Linked DNA regions of Notamacropus eugenii. The protein of the gene in region 1 interacts with the protein of each later gene in a pairwise test. Links are inferred from orthologs where the notes say so. Each region holds a gene or a part of one and is shown on either strand. Other genes may lie near its edges. The genes, in order: BMX and PTPN21.

What was found.
Region 2: the proteins of BMX (region 1) and PTPN21 interact in binary tests that used the Homo sapiens proteins (3 or more experiments, as listed by UniProt). The link is inferred for Notamacropus eugenii from reciprocal best matches to the Homo sapiens genes BMX and PTPN21.

The regions. Positions count from the first base shown.
Region 1 is NC_092876.1:374,583,228-374,593,682, reverse strand, and holds the start of BMX (cytoplasmic tyrosine-protein kinase BMX), read left to right. Parts: upstream 1-6,281; 5' UTR 6,282-6,377; coding exon 6,378-6,410; intron 6,411-10,455. UniProt on the Homo sapiens protein: Non-receptor tyrosine kinase that plays central but diverse modulatory roles in various signaling processes involved in the regulation of actin reorganization, cell migration, cell proliferation and survival, cell adhesion, and apoptosis.
Region 2 is NC_092878.1:76,509,614-76,520,340, reverse strand, and holds the start of PTPN21 (tyrosine-protein phosphatase non-receptor type 21), read left to right. Parts: upstream 1-6,212; 5' UTR 6,213-6,786; intron 6,787-10,727.

The DNA.
Region 1 (10,455 bases):
ATAAGTGGTCAAAGGATATGAGTAAATGGTTCTCAAAAGTACTGCAAACTATTAACAACTACATGAACTAATGATCCAAATCATTAACAATAAGAGAAATGAAAAATGAAAACAACCCTAAGGTTTCACTGGACTCTGCAAAGGGCAGAAATGACAGAAGATGAGCATACTCAGTGTTGGTAGGGTTGTAAGGAGACTGGCACATTAGGCAGCTAGAGGCAATAAATAGACCTCTGGACCAGGACTCAAGAAAAACTGAATTAAAACCCAGCCTCAGATACTTCCTACATATGTGATTCTGGGCAAGTTACTTTCCTCAACTATAAAATGGGAATAATAAAAGCACTCACCTTTCTGACATAATAAGTCCTGTTGGTGATGGGCTAGAGGTTCAGAATTGCGTATACATTTTTAGATAAGAGAAGTTTTTTTTTAATTAAAACAAATTGTTAAAAGATCTATTAGACAGTGGATGGATATTGGTAAATAATGATGTTAATGTGAAAAAAGGAGAAAAGAAACAAACATCAATAAAATATTTTTAAAATACAAAGAAGAGAATAGGAGGAAGTTCAGAAGGTGACAGACAAACAGAACAGTTTTGTTACTATAGAGTTAAATACATGTAAACATACAAATATATACACATGTGTGTATGTATATGTGTATGTATGCATGAATACATATGTATATGTAAGAGAAATTTGCAGCTTTCAGTCTTCTGTTCTTATTCATCAAAATACTGTTGTTGTATTTAGAATAAAAAATAAAACTTAACAACAGAAAAATTATTGGCCTTGGAAAAAGAATTGAAAAAACATACCTACCTCCCTTCTTTGTAGAGGTGGGGGACCATGGGTGTGGAATACTGAACATACTGTCAGGATTAGTGTGTTGGTTGGTTTTGCTGAACTGCTTTTTAAAAAAACTTTCTTTTTTGGTTTAATCTGCATTATTAATGCTTTTTCCTTTCCTGTCTTTTTTAAAGGGTTTTTTTTTATTAATTTACTTATTTTTAGTTTTTTAACATTCACTTCCACAAGATTTTGAGTTCCAAATTTTCTCCCCATCTCTCTCCTCCTCCCACCCCAAGATGGCATCCATTTTGATTACCCCTTCCCCCAAACTGCCCATCCCTTCTCTTATCCTCTTCCTCTCTATTTTCTTGTAGGGTAAGATAGATTTCTATATCCCACTGCCTGTATGTCTTATTTCCCAGTTTCATGTCAAAACAAATTTTAACATTCATTTTTAAAACTTTGAGTTCCATTTTCTCTCTTCCTCCCTCCCTACCCGCCTACAGTGAGAAGGCAGGCAATTTGATATAGATTATACATATGTAGTCTTGCAAAACACTTCTGTAATAGTCATGTTGTGAAAGACTAATTCCCTCCACCCTAACCCCTCTCCCCCATTTATTCTATTATCTCCTTTGACCCTGTCCCTCCTCAAAAGTGTTTGCTTCTGATTACCTCCTCCTCCCATTTGCTGTCCCTTCTATCATCCCTGCCCCCTTATTATCCTCTCCCCACCTATTTTCCTGTAGGGAAAGATAGATTTTTATACCCAATTCAGTGTGTGTGTTATTCCCTCCTTAAACCACATCTGATGAGAGTAAGGTTCACTCATTCCCTCTCACCTCTCCCCTCTTCTCCATTGTAAAAGCTTTCTCTGGCCTCTTTTATGTGAGATAATTTACCTCATTCTACCTCTCCCTTTCTCCTTCTCCCAATACATTCCTCTTTCACCCCTTATTTTTATTTTTTAGATATCATCCTTTCATATTCAACTCACCCTGTGCCCTCTGTCTATATGTATATAATCTCATTTCTCTTCCCAATTTTTCCTCTATTTCTCTTACTTGGTTTTCAAAATCCTTCTTGACCTCTTCCATCACCTGAGACCAATTCATATTTTTCTTGGAGGTTTTGGATGTAGGAGCTTTGAGTTTGTTGTGTTCTGGTTGTATGTTTTGATCTTCCTTGTCACCAAAGTAAAATTCTGTAGTCTGATTTTTTCCCTGCTCTTTGCTCATTTTCCCAGCAAATTACTTGACTTTTTTAGTTCTTTGTCAAGGTAGGACTCTACTTCCAATATTAGGGTGTACTCTCCCAAGCTTTAGGAGTTTTGTGCAGCTGTTTTCATAAACACTTCTAGGGACCTGTACATTTTCACCTCTTCCAAGGTGATATGATCAAAGGAGAGGTGTTTATTCCTCTCCTGGCCTGTTTTCTGGTCTGTGAGTGACCTCAAGCATTCTTTTCTGCCTTGGAACTGTGAGGAGGATTCTCTCTCCACTGCCACCACAAGCTCCACCATACAAGCACTTCTCCTCACCCCAGGACTGCCCCTCAGGACTATGACCCAGATCCAGGCATGGGCAAAGCAAGAGAATCCTGCCTCAGCACAAGCAAAGAGATTCCTGCAATTCTGCTCTGATCAGTTGCTCTATCCCCCCACCATCTGTGGGCCAAGAATTGTGGATGCAGCCATTGCTGCTGCTGCTGCAGACCACCACCACCTTGTGTGGTGGGCCAGATTGCATTCCTCTTTCTCCCAGCTCTGATAGATTTCTCCTACTGACTTTCTAAGTTGTCTTTGGTGTTTTTGGGTTGAGAAGTCTGGAAACTGCCACAGCTGCAAGTGATTCAGTGTCCTAAGCCCTGTTCTGGTCTTGTCTGGGTCGCATAGCTCATGCTAGACTGTATTCTTCTCTCAGATTGGTGCAACAGACCTTTCGTTTTGACCTTCCAGGTTGTCATGGACTGGAAATTTGTTTCTCTCTGTGATTTTATGGGTTCTGCTGCTCTGGAATTTATTTAGAGTCATTTTTACAGGTCTTTGGAGGAGTCTGGGGGAGAGCTCAAGCAAGTCCCTGCTTTTACTCCACCATCTTGACTCTACCCCCAAAATAGCTTTCTTCTTTATTCTTTGTGACAAGAGATGGTTTGCAAGGTAGAGTGTCAGAAACAATATATTTTGAAATAAAGATGAGGCAAAAATAAGTGGTATTAATAAAACACTAAAAAATAAAGATAACTTCAGTACAACACAATACAATATTGTAGTACAGTGGTTAGAGTGCCAGTACTGGCACCAGAAGTCTTGAGTTTGAATCTGGCCTCAGACATTGAGCTGTGTAACTGGGCAAGTCACTTAACCTCTGTCTACCTTAGTTTTCCCATCTGTAAAGCAAGAATCATAATTTATCTGCCTTGCAGGCTCGTTGCTAGGATCAAATGAGATAATAATTGCAAAATGTTTAGCACAGTGCCTGCCACAGAGTAAGTGCTATATAAAGGCTACCTGCTATTATTATTGTTGTTGTTAATAGATGGGTAAAATTCCTACTCATTCTTAAAGTCTTTTTTTTTTTCAGTTGTCTCTGACTCTTTGTGAACCTCATTTGGGTTTTCCTTGGCAAGGATACTTGAGTAATTTGTCATTTCCTTCTCCAGTTCATTTTCCAGATGAGGAACTGAGGCAAACAGGGTTAAGTGACTTGCCAGGGGTCACACTGCTAGTAAGTGTCTGAGGCCAGATTTGAACTCAGGAAGAGGAATTTTCCTAAATCTAGGTCCAGTGCCCTATACACTGTGCCACGTAGCTGCCTACTCTTTTTTTTTAAATTTAGTATTTTATTTTTCCCCAGTTACATGTAAAAACAATTTTTAACTTTTGTTATTAAAACAAATTATCTCCCTTCCTCCCTTGCCCCCCATTGAAAAGGCAAGTAGATCTAAGTTATACATGTGTAGTCATGCAAATCATACTCATAATAGTCATATTGTGAAAGAAAACATAGACAAAAAAACTCAAGAAAAATAAAGCTAAAAAAGTATTCTTCAGTCTGTATTCAGACATTATCAGTTCTTTATCTAGGGGTAGATAGCGTTCTTCATCCTAAGTCTTTCAGACATGTCTTGGATTGCTGGATTGCTGAGAATAGCTAAGCCACTCACAGTTGATCATTTCACAATATTGCTGTTACTTTGTACAGAGTACATTTCACTTTGTATCAGCCATTCCAGTCGTTCTAGGCTTTTTGGAGAGCATCTTACTCATCATGTCTTATAGTACAATAGTATTCCATCATAATCACATACCACAACTTGTTCAGCCATTCCCTAATTGACGGGTATCCCCTCAGGTTCTACTTCTTAGCTGCCCTACTCTTGAAAGACTGCTTCAAATGTCATTTCACTTATGAGAGCCTTACTGATCCTCTCTGAACAGTAATGACTCGCTTCCCCACAGCACTCCCCACCCAGTCAAAGACGTGACTTGGGTTTAGACCTATAAGGCACCGTAGAGATTGGTTAGTCTAAACCCCTGGTTTTACAACTGAGAACACAGAAGTTACATGACTTGCCCAAAGTCACACAGGTAGTAAGTAGCAATCCAGGATTCCACTGACTCCAAATCTGGGGCTCTTGCCACTATACCAATTATATATGATGTAATATTTGGTAAATACATATTTATAAATTTTACATATATATAAATTACATATATAGAGGAAAATATTACATATATAAAAATATTACATATATATTTACTAGAAAAGGTAATGCTGCTTACCATCTAGAAGGTAGATATGACGTATATATGTATATATATATACACACACACACATAAATGTATGCTATATAAATACGTTATAGAAACAAACATAAGCAATGTGTATATGCTGTATAAATAAATATAGATATATGTACGTGTATACATGTATGTAAGCACTTACACATGCATATTGTATATTATCCCACCACACATAAACATTTATATATATTATACGCATTTATATATTATATATACATGTATGTCATATCTGTGTTCTAGATGTTAAGCAGCAGCTTTGCCTTTTCTAAATTTTCTTTCTCCTCCAGCACCAAGCACAGTTTAGTGCTTGATATATTCGTGTGGATTCTAATTGAATCAAATTATCCCAAATATGGATTGGAATCTAGAGTTGAGTCAACAGTGACATTTGGAACTTTTGCCTCCCAATGTAGTTCTGAAGCTACACTCTAGACTTGTTGGAATGAAAAGGATTAAGTAACTAGCCATTTAAAATAGTGTTACAACATGTGCCAAATGAATGATTTCTTTCCTTGGCTGCTCCCCCCTGTGCCCAAAAGGTGTTATGAGTAGTATCAGTGTGAGTGTTTTTACTTACGTCACCAAAACATTAGATTCTAAGACAACTATAGGCTGCATGATAATTACAGTGGTGAGAGATCTGACTTCTAAGTGACAACAACCTGGCTTCAAGACCCATCTGTTACAGGCACTGACTATGTGATTCTGAGCAAGTAACTCAGAGCCGCAGACAACTCCCTAAGACTATAAGTTACAGAGACTGTTTAGTAGAGGAAGTTCCTACACTGATGACATTACAGCTCTAGTCAGAAAACAAACTCGAAAAGAAATTATAAGATGAGCAAAGAAAAGTTGTAACAATGACATGATTCCATGATAAGAATGGTATGGTTACATGTTCCCCCAACCATTCATGGATATGCCCTATAATGTTGGTATACAACAAAAAACTAGAGAAAGGTATGTCCCCAGTTGTATTACTCAGTGCTCCAAACTATAGAAATATATTCCTTATGTGGGCAGCTAAGTGGCATAGTGGATAGAGTGCTGAGCCTGGTCAGGAAGACTCATCTTTCTGAGTTCCAATCTGACCTCAGACACTTCCTGGCTGTATGACCCTGGGCAAGTCACTTAACCCTATTTGCCACAGTTTCTTCATCTGTAAAATGATATCAAAAAATATCAAACCATTCCAGTACCTTTGCCAAGAAAACCACAAATAGGGTTATGAAAAGTGGAACACCACTGAAAACAACTGAACTGAATAACAACAAATGTCTTTAATCTGTCTACTCTACTTTATCTGTCCAAGTCTTGAGTTAACACTTACTGCTTATTCTCTGAGCTCTTTGGTCTTACCTAACTGCTTCCTGACTTGTATGTCAATGTCAGAAAGGGAGTTTTTGCCTAGATATTTTATTGTTCTTTTCATAAAAATGCTACATAAACAAAGGCAAGGCTGTTGAACTTTATTCAGTCATTCTACTCCCTCCCCAAACAGCCCTGTTACCTCTCTAAATTTAAATCTTTATAAAATGTGCTTTTACTTCTATTTTTGTTGAGTTCAATCAAATCAGCAAGCATTGGCCAAGTGTTGAGTGTGGTTTCCTGTAGGATTGTGTAAAGTCCTGCAGAACAATATTCACTTGGGGTGACTGAGTAATGTGGTTATTTCAGGCCTCCCAGTCAAAGAAACATGAGGAAGCCAGCTGGGACACGACAAAGGTGATCACTGCTTGTTTTCTTTCAACAATTATTGGATTATTCTGATTGGAATGGATTCCAATAAAATGGAGCCATCAGAAATGGTATGTAGCAGAGGTTGGTGGCAATGAAGTGTCTTTTATACAGGAACTTGGTAGAGTTCAAATTCTGGCTCAAGAGAGAGGTCAGCTGATGCTTGTACTGGCCTGAATTAAGTTTAGTGATAAATAAGTTTGGGATTTGCATTCTCTTTTCTGTTTTGTTCTGCTGGTTGTTTTTATTTTCTTTCTCAAACATACACCTTCTAACAGCTTCTGAAAGAAAAATGTCTCCTTATTTTCCCAGTGCTTTTTGTTAGATTGCTAACTTCTATAAATTGGTGAGTGTTTTCTTTTCTTTTTTTTAATACTGACTTTCTCTGTATGTGTGTGGTTTGTTATTTGATTTGTTTAGGGATTTTTTTTCCTAACGTTTGTTTTTAGTGGGGAGGAGAAAGAGAAAGAGGACAGTGGTTATGAAAATGAACCAGTCACGTGGCACGGTACAGAGGAAAATCATTGACTCTGAAATCAGGAAAATTGGTTCTGAATCATTCCTTGGAATTTCTTTCCCTTCCAGGCCTCTGTTTAAAATTGGGGAACTTAAAGTTCTCCAATATTACTTACCCATTTATAGAATTTATGAAGCGAAAGCAGCTCTGTGACCAAATAGATATTGTTTTTTCCTCATTGGATGTCTCTAACTAGTGATAAAAATATTGCGTTCTTAAAGCATTGGCTTAGCTATGACTTGACTGTTCAAGAGGCTTTAGTGGTTCCTCACTGCCAACAAGAGCAAATACATGCTACCGTATTTGACATTTAAATCCCTTCAAATCTGATATTCCTAGGAAGTACAAGGAATTAAATTAAAGAAGGGATTTTCATGTTGTTGTGTGTAAACTTTGTAACATAAAATAAAACATGTAGGATAGCAAAACCAATTACATAACTGATTTCAGTCAGCAAAAGATTTATATTTTTAAAAACAAAATGGCAGACCCCAGGTGAAGAACCTTTGAAATTAAAGGCATTCATCCTGAGGTATTAAGTGGATCACCATCTTCTACTTTTCTCCTTGACAAGGAAGACCAAAAGTAAAATCCCTTGATATTTGGGGGGGAAGAAAAGGGAGCAGGAGAGGACAGTGGTTTTAAAAGAAGGAAAAGTCTCAAAAGGGGAAGTAAAGTTGCTGAACAGGAACTTCAAGTACATCCCAATTTTGCCCAGGCCCACTCTAATTACTATAAGAAAGGAATTGGGTTTTGCCTTTTATATAAGAAAACAGATCTCCAAAGTAGTTGGTTCTCTAATAATAATAGCTAGAATTTGTATAATTCTTTAAGGTTTGCAAAGCCTTATTCATACACTGGATTTTCACCACCTATCTATCAGATTTATCCATCTGATTTATCTATCTTTTATCTCTCTGATCTATCTGTCCATCTGATTTTATCCTTGTAACAATCATGTGAAGGTCATCTCCATTTTTCAGCTGAGGAAACTGAGGCAAACAAGTGATGTGTCCAGGGTCACACAGCTATTAGATATCTAAGTTTGAATTTGAGCTCAGGGCTTCCTGACTCCAAGTCTAGCCCTCTTACCCCTTGTACCACCTACCTACCTCAATAAGTTGATAAGCAGAGAGTTAATTCGGGGCCAGTTGTATCAAGTAGCAGGAGGTTGGGCTGAAAAGTTAATATCTGTCAATATCTCATTTTCTTACTCCCAGTGCCTCTGTGATCTCATCTATGGGGGTGCTTCCCACATCAGAGTGCATTCACATCTGTTCCTCCTATCCCCTTCTTGTACTTAGTCTCCTATGGATTCTACAGAATATATTCTGCCACCAAGCTGGAAGACTTGTTTTATCTAATGGTTTCTGGGTACCAGTTCAGTACTAGGACTGCCTATCTGTTGTCCTTTCTGATTGCTGCTGACTTTTTCAGTTTTATGCTTTACAAATGATGATTCTTGGACCATTTCTTATGGATAGGTTATTTCAGGAAATCGGTCTTTGACTACGTATGTTCCCCTGAACCCTCCCCCACAATGGTCTGAATCTTCCTTTGTGTCACCTGCATTGATGGGGTGAGGAGGGGGGTAGAGGAAACACCACATGTTTTCCTCAAGGCTGTCCAGTTACCTTTCTTTTTTTAAATTTTATTTTAGACTCAAATACCAGAACAAAAATATAGAATAGAGAAAAGAAACAAAAATATATCATAAACTTAAATATTGGAACTTAAACACAAAGTAAGAAAGGAGAGGAAAAACATGTCATCTACATAGCAGCACATAAGAGAGGATTCAAAATATGTGACAGTAATGCTTCCATTTATTCAATTCTGGCACCAGGCTATTGTCCATCTGCCGCACATTACATAAACACTTCTGTTATCTACATCTTTAGTACAATGTAGGCATTATGTCATTATCATGCCGAGCACAATTGTCGCTTTTCTCTCTAGTACCTGATAGCATCCAATAATAGAATGCAGTTAGGGAGGAAAAACATTAAGAATGCTTGCGACAGCTTCTTTGTAAAAAATAATAATAGTGTTTATTTATAGAATGCTTTAAGGTTTGCAAAGCACTTTACAATGATTATCTTATTTGATCCTTACAACCCTGAGAGGTGGGTGCTATTATTATCCCTATTTAAGAGGAATCTGAGGCGCATAGATTTCAGCTAGTAGGTGTCTGAGGTTATATTTGAATTCAGAACTTCTTCCTTACCGACGTGTTGTCTTCACTGAGTGGTCTGAAAGACAAGTATAATTTAGAGGAGAGGAGCTCTGAATTTAGAACAAAAGCCATAGCTAGCTATGGCTTTGCACCAGGGTGTTGAATTTAAAGGGTCCTGACATTCCTTGCATGCCTTCAGAAGCTAGAAAAACTGAAGTTAGCACCAACTTACCAAGAATAATTAATTAATATAGGAAACTGCTTCCTCGTGTGAACCCCAGATACTGTCCACCTTGGCTCAGACCTTCCTTGCTCTCCCCATCCTGCTTTCCCTGAGATCCCACAATATGTTCCTCATTTTCCTCAATCGTAAATTGAGGGGGTTTGAACAATGATACCATCCCATTCAAAAACCCTATTGAATATTTTTTTTTTTTTTGTAATTTTGTTTTGAGAGGCAGAGCGGATAAGGAATCAGCAAGATCCAAGTTCAAAGCTGGCGTTAGACACTTACTATCTGTGTGACCCTGGTCAAGTCACTTCACTTCTGTTGGCTTCAGTTTCCTCATCTGTGAAATGGGGATAATAATAGTAACTACCTCCCAGGGTTGTTTGTGAGAATCAAATGAATTAATTGTAAAATGCTTAGTGCAGTATCTGGCACACAGTAAGCTCATGTAAATAGCTATTTTCTCCTTTTTCCTTCCCCTTGTTTTGTTTGAATTCTCTATTTTATTTTTGTTCAGTCTTTTAGTCGTAAAATAGTAAGAAGAAATGGCCCATGGCAGAATTCTGAAGGAGGTAGATGTTGTGTTGTAGTGACCTCTACTTCCCATTTCAGTATTCTTTGCCCCACTTGCAGTATCTTCTGCCTTTCCTGGTTACAATAATGATCAGTGCTCAAAAGGCCTTTTTGTTCTTTTTTACCTTTTCTCTATTAAAACCTACTCTTAACCAACAGCCTCATTTTAAATGTGTAAATGACAGTTAATAGTTTAAAGAGTTATTCCTCTTAGGGATGTATGGATTTTAATCATTGAACAACTGCATGATTTTTCAGGCAAGAGTGCAGGAAGGCTACTAGGAGGAACTATTATATTATATTAGGGCTATAATAGGACTATTCTGCAACAGGCTACTCCTAGACATGAGCTATCTTTAGCTTTGTTTTCTCTGTCTTTCTTGGAGGATATGCTCTGCTTTAGGAGCAGAATTATTATTTGTTTGTAAAGTTAATCCTGGATTCATGTGTGATGCTGTCTTTAGGAATCCAGATGTGGGTAAGAAGGTCTTTGGGGGGTGATTCCATTAGGAAGGGAAGCAGAAGGGGAATATAAAGAACCTATTATGTTCTGGGTACTGTAAAAAGCACTTTACAACTATCTCATTTGACCTTCACAACTATGCTGAGAGATAGGTGCTA
Region 2 (10,727 bases), on another chromosome or scaffold:
AGGGATCAAAGGGCAGGGAATATCATATTCCAGAAGTCAAAGGAACTAGGACTAAAACCAAGAATCACCTACACAGCAAAACTGACTATAATACTTCAGGGGAAAAAATGGTCTTTCAATGAAACAGAGGACTTTCAAGCATTCTTGATGAAAAGACCAGAGTTGAAAAGAAAATTTGACTTTCAAACACAAGAATGAAGAGAAGCATGAAAAGGTAACAGCAAAGAGAAGTCATAAGGGACTTACTAAAGTTGAACTGATTACATTCCTATATGGAAAGACAATATTTGTAACTCTTGAAACTTTTCAGTATCTGGGTACTGGGTGGGATTATACACACACACACACACACACACACACACACACACACGCACACACACACACACAGAGACAGAGAGCACAGAGTGAATTGAACAGGATGGGATCATATCTTAAAAAAATGAAATTAAGGGGTGAGAGAGAAATATATTGGGAGGAGAAAGGGAGAAATGGAATGGGGCAAATTATCTCTCATAAAAGAGGTAAGCAAAAGACTTTTTAGTGGAGGGAAAAAGAGGGAAGGTGAGAGAAAAACATGAAGTTTACTCTCATCACATTCGACTAAAGGAAGGAATAAAATGCACACTCATTTTGGTATGAAAACCTATGTTACAATACAGGAAAGTGGGGGTGAAGGGGACAAGCAGGGTGGGGGGGATGATGGAAGGGAGGGCAGTGGGAGGAGGGAGCAATTTGAAGTCAACACTTGGGGAGGGACAGGATCCAAAGAGAGAATAGAAGCAATGGGGGGCAGGATAGGATGGAGGGAAATATAGTTGGTCTTACGCAACATGACTATTATGGAAGTCATTTGCAAAACTACACAGATATGGCCTATATTGAATTGCTTGCCTTCCCAAACGGAATGGATGGGGAGGGAGGGATGAAGAGAAGTTGGAACTCAACGTTTTAGGAACAACTGTCAAGTACTGTTCTTGCTACCAGGAAATAAGAAATACAGGTAATGGGGTACAGAAAGTTATCTGGCCCTACAGGACAAAAAAGAAGATGGGGACAAGGGAAGGGAGGGATGATAGAAGAGATGGCAGATTGGTGATAGGGGCAATTAGAATGCTCAGTGTTTTGGGGTGGGGAGGGGACAAATGGGGAGAAAATTTGGAACCCAAAATTTTGTGAAAATGAATGTTAAAAGTTAAATAAATAAATTTTTTTAAAAAAGAGAAGAATATTTACCAAAGATAGGAATTGGGGACATCTCTGCTTGATTCACCTGAACCAATTTCCCTATCCCAAGTTACCCACTGAGATCCACCGGTCAAGTGTCAGAGAATCCCTAGAGTTCCTCATGGCTGCTTTGTACTTAGGTCAACAGTTGGAGCCTTTAGTACCTTGAGCAAACCAACTCTTGAGGAAAGCTATTAAAAAGAAAAAGCTATTAAAGAAAAGTATTAACTTTTAAGGGAAAATGAATCTAACCTTCATGGAAGAGGGGTGAGAATATTGTTCCTATTACAACTCTGTTGTCAAGTACATATTAGGGGCATAGACCTACACAGTACACTAGGATATGCACCTAAGGAACTTATTTTAATAATTGTTTTTATGAATATTTGGTCATAAAGGATATTATTTTTACTCATCAACGAAAAAAACCCCCCAAACCTAACAACTTTTAAAAAAATTCAACAATCAACTTTCTTTTAGAAATACACATTTTAAAAACGAAACAAAATTCCACCTTTTTTTTGGGCTGGGCACATCTGTCATAAGATTACAAGAGTTACAAGGGTATTTATGACCATAATTAGGATCACAAGATTTAGAGATACAGGAGTAAAGATCCATTATTATATAGTTGAGGAAACTGAGGCACAGATGAGTTAGGCAACCTGCTCAAGATTACTCAGGTTGTAAATAACAGAACCAGGTTTTCTGACTCCAAATCAGGTGCTCTTTCAACTAGATCATGTTGTTTTTCATTTACCTTTTCAATCATCTTTGTTATGACTGAGTTATTAAAAGGACTGGGAGGATCTTTTGTTATTATCTAATTTAACTTCTCTTATTTTGGAGCTAGGGTACCTGAGTTTCATGGACATTAAATAACTTCCCCACAATCACAAAGACATTTAATTGTAAAGAGGAACTCAAACTCCTATCTCTTGACTCCTGGGCTTGTGTGCTGACTATAGATACAAATGAAATAAGCACTTAAGCAGCTTACAATCTAACTTGGCAGACAAAAATAGTATAAATTAGAGAACAATTAAATGTGAAACTATGTTGTATTGGAGGTAACTAGATGACATAGTGAATAGAGGAGTGTCCAGCCTGGAGTCAAAAAGACTCATCTTCTTGAATTCAAATCCGGCTTCAGACATTTACTAGCTATGTGACCATGGGCAAGTCACTTAACCCTGTTTGCCTCAGTTTCCTCATCTGTAAAATGAGCTAGAGAAGGAAATGGCAAAACACTTCAGTAGCTTTGCCAACAAAGCCCCAAAATAGGAACATGAAGAGTCAGACATGACTGAAATGACTGACCAAAATGTTATATTGACTTTAGATTCAAGGAAAGCCAGACCTTGAAGAGTAGGATTTGTGAAAATGGAAGGAATACAGTCTGGTACAGCTGGAAAAGTGTTCAACTCAGATTCAAGACACTTGAGGTTTCCATCCAGGTTAGTACATTTACTAACTGAGTGAACATAGGAAAATGTTATAATCTCTCAGATAATCAATTTCCTTATCTACAAAAAGGTCAATAATATTTGTACAACCTCCCTTGTAGGTTAAGAATTTTAGTGTACTACGTACGTAGCCCATACATATAAGTTCTGAGAAATCTCATTCCAAATCCTACTCTCTCAGAGTACTTGTGCTCCCCAAGCTATTAGGCTATAGACACACATACAGACACAGACATGCATACATATAATATGTGTGTGTGCATGTGTATATATATATATATATATGTATATATATATATATATATATATATATATATATATATATATATATATATATATATATATATATATATATATATATATATATATATATATATATATATATATATACTTCTCCCTTTCGAGTTTCTAGGGTGTTCTCCTGGAAGACTGAAGGCATTTTTTCTAATGTTATTAGCTCAATCCCCCACTCCTCATTCCATTATAAATTGCCAGTCATTAACACCACAGTTTCCACATCAATAGGTTTCTAAGTGACAATTATTTTGCAGATATAGCAAGAACAGAAGTACAAACATCTACCCCTTCCAACTTTTAGTGGGAGTCACACCTTTTGTCTCTGAGGGGAATGACTCAGACAGTGCAGTGTTTTTTCCAGTAAGTTTTATTTTTTTTAACCTGTCAACAAGTGTTTTTATATACATTTTATTTCCCTCCAATTTTAACATTTTAAAAAAGTTTTGAGTTACAATTTCTATCCCTTCCTTCCTGCTCCCTGAGATAGTAAGTAATCCAATATAGTTAATATGTGTGTAATCATGCAAAATGACCATACAGTGGTTTTTTAATAGTGTAGGTCCCACCAAATTTATATCCCAATACAGCATTAATACTGGCTGTCTTTGTTTTAGCTTGTACTGGACTAATTCCTAAAGATTGTTCCTTTACCCATTCAGGGGAGCTTTGGTCTTGAACTGTCTAGAATCTAGACTCCAGATGCATCATATGCTCCATTCTAGGACCTCCTTTCTAGTGGCTCACTCTTCAGATTTTTTGAAGCTCATTAGGTAGTAGCTATGTCTAGTCTCCTTAATTGAGAAGCAGAAAAATAAATACAAAGGCAAAGAGCTGAAGCCCATACTCACAGCACACTTAGTCTTAGATGTGCAGGGCCTCAGACCTTTCCCTTTACAACACTACTGTCTTCTCTCACCTGAATATAGCCATGTAGCAAAGAGTCAGACCAAAAACGACTGACTGGTAGACTATTACCTATTGAAGGTCCCCACCCCACTTCTGGCTACACAGCAATCAAAATCTTTCTCTTCAACATGTGGTTACCAGACCAGAACCAATTACAAAATATTTGCACATGTTCCAATTTAGGAGCAAGGCATTTCCATTATGCATCATGTTGTTTCTCCAAAAGCAGAGTTCCCAGTTTCTTCCACTTTTGGAATGCATCAGTTACGTACGCAAATGATTGCTTCAGAAGTCCTCCATGACATATCTGTGTGAATAATTTTAGGTAGAGAAAGCAAAGTGAGCAAACACAAAAAAGTGTAACTAAAACTTGTATATTACAAGAGACCTGGAGAGACCTTTTACTGGAGCAAAAAGTATATTGGGAGAAATGGATCATAGATTTAGAATTGGAAGCAGCACAGTCTTCAGGATGTAAATGACTGAGGTCTGGAGCAGTTGTGTTTTATCCCTTGGTCATACAGAGTTACAGTCTGAACTCAAGCCCTCTGGCTCCAAATTTAGTAATGTATCTTCTGTACCACACCAAGCAGTAGAAATAAGATTGAATAGGTAGATTTCGGCCGGATTACAGAGGGTCCCAAAAGTCAGGTAAGAGAGAGGGAATCTGTTATAGCAAGGATCTTTAGATTTCAGGAAATCTAATGAAGTTCTATTGGGGAAAAAAGTATCTTTATTTCAACAGAATTTGCTTTCTTCATAATCCTGAATATTTTATTTTACATCCTTAAAAACATTATTCTGAGAAGGCATGAAGAGGTTTCAAATTGCCAAAGCAATGAGTTATAGGTTCTTTAATAATGAAAGAAAGAAAGAAATGAAAAAGCATTTATTAGGGCTTATTTTGCTCAGGGCAAGGTGTTGAAACCTTGAGATACAAATACAAACAGAAAGAGTGCCTGTCCTTAAGGATTTTACATTCTGATAACGGAAGACTATATACATATAGCCTAACTGTAGTTAGGGAAAGAGGTGTTTGGGATTGAGAAGTCACTTAGATGTTAAATAGAGCTATAGGGCAATTGATTGACTTGAACTTTCCAGGAATGGTAGTAGTGATCTGATGTCTCCCGAGGGAACAAGGGAGCAAAGGAGTGACATTATGAAAACAATATTTTAGGAAGATTACCTAGCCACCAATATGCAGCATTGACTTGGGGGGAGGAAGGAACAGAGAGGGGAACTGAAGGAAGGGAAATTAGCTTGGAGATTTGCAATAATTCAGTAAACATAATGCAATTGTGATGATGTTAAGGATCTTGGAGTGGATACAGAGAAGGTGGAATTTAAAACAAATAAATAAACAACAAATCAAAAGAAGAGATGTCAGGGTATGAAAACTGATTAGATATAGGGGAAAAGAAGGAAGAATGAAAGATAATTATGATGACAATGATGATATTTAATATTTATACAGTACTTTAAGTTTGAAAAGCACTTTCTGGCTTCAAAGTCATATGGAAGAGACCTCCATAGGACTCTTCTTCCAAACATACAAATTAACCTTGATGTCCCCTGGAAAGAATGAGTTTACTCAATTTAGGCTAACTTTCCTTTATAAAACCATGCTGTGATTAAAAAAAAGTTTTTTCTGAACTGATAGAGATTTAAAAATAACTTAAGTCAAAATTAGCTTACATTAAACTATTAATTCTCTCATTTTCCAGAACCATTCTCTCTTTGTTTTAAAAAGCAGAGATGGAAGATTATCGTGATAGTCTGTTATACAAATAATTGAGTTTTCTTTCAATAGACTCTATATGCATATATTATATGAAATATTTTCTTTAAATAAGTATTACAAAATTCTCGAATTGGAGAATGTCTTTTTTGGGCAGTCATATCTGGTAGTCCTGAGAGCGTAAAAAAAGAAAGTAACTTAGTATCCGATTTCAGGAGAGTCATAGCTTTCTCAAGAAGTAATTATAAAAGTAGCCATATAGAAAAATAAGTAGCAAATTATTACAGCAAATTGGTGATAGCATTTTACACAGTCCAAAAGATCTAACTATTTGCCACAGAAATAATATCCCCATTGTATTTTATAAAAAGTCCTGCTTCATTTGGGAAGCCTTAAAATAAGTGGTCATATGATTAAAAAAGGAAACGATTCGTTGTAACCCCCTATTTCTGTAATGCCCCCACAGCAGGCGCGGCAGCTGTCCCGCCGCTGACATTCCCCGGCCCTGACATTCCAACTCTCTGAGGTCATGGACTGCAAGCATACGGGCTCTTCGCTCCCTCTCTCCGTATCCGTCCGCGTGGATGGAACAAGTAACGCCTCCCAGGGCACTTGCACCTTCACTACCCAGCGAGAGTCCGATCGGATAGGAGCAAAGAAAAGGAGCCTCAAGATCCTACAACTTCGTTTCTCCTCCACAAGAGACCCCCTTCTGTCCTGCTTGGAGCCGGGAGATGATTGCCAAGTTCACCGACCGGGGTGCCTTTGTGTAGCCCTGCTCGCGGACCCCGGCTCTCGCACAAGCCCGGCTCCCTCCGATCACTCGCCCGCAGGAGCTCCCCCCACCCCCCTCTCGATCGCTCGCCTGCAGGAGCTCCCTCGAGCGCTCGGTGGCCGCCCGCCCTCCTGCGAGTCCTTACCTAGTGGAATGATACACAGACCAAGTTTTCTGAGACAGGAAGTGAGGAATGTTTTCAGTATGACTGAGTTGGAGGGGAGCCTGGCATGCCCTTCTCGACCCAGGGGACGCACTGAGACCCTTGTGAAGGAAGACCGGTGAGAGATGTCTTCCAGGGGAGAACCCGAACTGTTTGCGTTTTGTAGCTGAGGATGCGTGACCTCAGAACCTCTTCAGCTGGATCACTGCAACAGGTAAGTAAGTAAGTAAGTAAGTAATGGACAAGAGGAGACCACAGGAGCCTCCCCGGGCTCTTTTTGTTTGATACAGTTTCCTCTCAGTTCCTGAGAGGCAGACTGTGTAACTTAGTGGCATTTTCTCTCGTGAGTAGGTTTCTTCTGTGTACATTTTATTAGTCCTGGAAATCGCTATTCTCGAAGAGATAACGTTTCACTAAGAAATTCTTCGTTTTCATGCTCCACTCCACTGACTTGTCTATTAAATTTTATGAAGAGAGCACTTTCGCTTGTATTTTGATTCAGTTTATCTTTTTAGGGTCTAATTCCAAACCAGGTAGTTAATTCTGGCTACATTTCAGTCTGCTAAAATGGTGCATACTTGTTGAGTTTGGCAAATAAAAACTTTCAGTAGGGGAGAGAGAGGAGGAGGAGTTTTTGTTTTATTTTGCTTAAGGGGAGTGTGGTTACTGTGGGGAGAGAAATTCCTAGGTTTGCTAAATTCAGACTTGTGATTTCGGCGGATACTGATTAGATACTTTTGGCATGCTGGTTCCATTTTCTTTTTGCTGATAACGCCTTATAATAGTGCATGTGTGCGTGTGTGTGCACATTTAAAAAAAATTCCATGTGATCAAAATGACACCGGCTGTTAGCCTAACACTAAATGACAGCTGCTAGATTAAAAAAAAAACAGCTTTTAATTTCGGATATAACAGTTGTATTTGGACAACAGTAAACATAGTGCAAGCAAGGAAATTTATTCTGAAGTTTTTGCATTTGCTTGTATGGATATTTTTGTCTTATAGGAAACAGGTTACAGTTCAAAGCAGTGGAGTTAATAAATGTTGTTGCCTTCTTACTGATAGATAACACTTTAATTGCTGCTTATTTTCAGGTACTTATTGCAAATTTTAAATGAGATGAAGCCTTAATAAGGAAAAGCTTCACAAAATAAACAGTTATATTTCAAGAAACTTTGTGATTGTTGGGAATAATCAAAGAACTAAAATATCCTCCTTACAGAAGCAGATCTACCTGGGCTTAAGAGTTTCTATGAAATGAAACGTTTATTACTTTTTCTATGCATTTTGTCTTCTTTAATGCTCAAACCTTTCAGTTTTAAAATTTTAGTGTAGAAATAAGTAAGTATCCATTATAGATATCACCTGTGAATCATCCCAAAGCAACTGTCTGTAAATAATATGAAAACTTTGGTCAACAGAGTGTTTAACTAGATCAACAAATATCATGAGTCTTTTAAAAATTTACTTATGGCATATTGAGAAAAACATCTCAAGTTATTCCTAAAATAGACAAAAGTTGCTCTCAGAGTCTACTCAACTTGGTTTTATTAGAGTCCTTAACCATATAAAGTTTCTTAAACCCTATGTACAATATGCATTACAAAACAAGGACATAAGCTTTGGGTTAAGTAGAGCATCATTTTTAAAACAGAGTCTGTTCTTTTCTTATAAAAGATTTCCTCCCAGCAAACACTCTCCTCATTCCCCCCCCATCCCTAAGACACTTTTAACAGTGGTTAGCTCTGAGGGGAAATTATACCTAGTTTAAGAAAATATTGTTTTCATGCTAAAAAAATACAATAGATGAAAAATATTTATTTTTATTATTAGTGAGGTTGTAAAAAAAAACTCTTCAAACTTTTGAGTGTCTCCTCCTCCTACTCCCCCCCCCCATTTTTGCTCCATTTACTTAATCTGATGCTAAAGTTAATAATTAAGTTATATAGTATAGTATCTGTTGCCTTCAAGGCTTAGTCATTTGTTTCTTTGAAGTGAAAAGAGCACAATATCTGGAACATCCCAGAATACAAATATTTGTATTCCCTCTTCATATAGACAAATGTCTTGTTTTTCATCTTTTGCTACTACTTGTCCCAGTCTATTTGTTTTTTAAGGACTGTTCCATAGTTTTCATATTGAAATTTAAATTTATTACTTAATGATATCATGGAAACTTTTTTGAGAAAATTATAACCAGACATTTAACAAAAATACTGAGTAAGACCTTGTAAAAGATTTTTGCTGTAGATTGACAATCTCCATCCTTTCAATAGCTCTTACCTTTATAGCTGTATGATAGGCTATTTCTCTCCAACTTCTTATCAAAGAAGCTGGCATCTGCCTCCTCCCCCTCCCCAAAGTTTACATAGCATTACTATCTAAGCACTTTAAAGTATTAGAAACCTATATTTTTATGGTTTATAAGTATACTTGTCTTTAGTTATCATGAGACTTACACATCTGCATAGACCTTAGCATTGGTTTTCCTGGTAGTTTTCAAGTTACAAGTTTATTGTTACCTATATAGCTTCACTGGTCAGTAGTGGGGAAAATATATGCTTAAGAACTAATATTACTTTGGTCCATTTCTCTTACCTAGTAGGTTAAGCTGTATTGTAAACCTCTCCAAGGTGGGGTCCATACTTTCTATCATATTTTTAAAATTTCCTCACTTGTATGGTGCCTTTTACTTGGTCTTCCTTAATTATTGCAAAGATTTGGTAATCGGTGGGAACCTGTGCCATTTTCCTCTTTGCCTTCCTTTTCTTTCATCCTCTTAGTTTCCTCACCTCCACCCCCACTCCTCCTTTTTGGACCAGTTCAAGGATAGAGGTTCTGGATCTCTTGTTCTGAGGGATGGTGTAGACTCTACTCTCTACTAGAGTATACATTCCAAATCACATGAAAGTCTTGGTGTCCACTGGTTGTGTCCTTAATTAAATAAATCTATAGTTATTTAACCACAATGTTTAAACAGTTAACCATCCATTGAGGGATGTAGTACAAGTATAGCATTAGTACCATTTTCAATTAGAGGAAACAAATACCTAGGGGGGAAAGTGATTTACCCAAGGTCTTGTATCAGTAGGATACCAGATTGGGTTACCTCCCCAAGGATTCTTAGTTGACAATTATATTGCCCTTTAATGTTTACAAAATCCTTTACGTATATTAAGTCATTTGATCAAGACAAGACTTTTCTGCCCTCTCCCTCTTTCCTTCTCTCTTCACCCCATCCATAACCTAATAATAATCATCTATATATAATGTTTCAGGGTTCATAAAGAAAGGACTTTACATAAATTCTCCTTTGATTCGTACACCAATTGCATCTCTCCACACTAGGCATTCATTTTGGGTATTCTCAATGTCAAGAATGTTCTTCCTCCTCCACTTTGACTACTGACCTCCTTGGTTTCCTTTAAATCCCAACTAAAATCCCATCTTTTACAGGAAGCCTTTCCCAACCCCTCCTTAATTCTGGTGCCTTAACCTCTGTTAAGTATTTCCTATTTATCTTTTATGTAGCTTTCTTTGTATATACTTTCTTGTTTGTTTCTTTACCATTCGATTGTAAGATCTTTGAAGGTAGGGACTGTCTTTTGTCTCTTTTTGTATCCTCAGCGCTTAGCACAGTGTCTGGCACGTAGCAGGCGCTTAATGAATGTTTATTGAATTGAACTCAACCAAATTTGTGAGGTAGGTGCTGCAGTTATAACCAGTTTTACACATGAGGAAACCGAGACTGAGCTAGCAAGCATTTAAGTCAGGATTCGAATAAGGTCTAGCTAGACCACCCAGCTACTTCAGCCTAGGTATCTGAGACCCTAAATAACCTACGTCTGGCCCGGCATTCACCGTCTCTACCGAGGTTACTTGCCTTAGTATGGGGAGGAAAGTAGAACCAGGGGGCTGGAGGTACAGGACCCTCCCCCGCCCCCAATTTTGAGTGACAATTCTAAATTGATTTTTAAAAAAGTCATACAGTTTGTGGAAGAGCCCTGGATTTCCAGCCAGGAGACCTGAGTTCGAATTGTTTCTGCTTCTAACTTAAAAGTATAATTAATAAACTTTCTCTTGGCCACGTGTCTGAAGGGAGGGTTGGACTAGATGACCTTTGAGCTCCTTTCCAGATTTTTAAAGCCAGTGCTC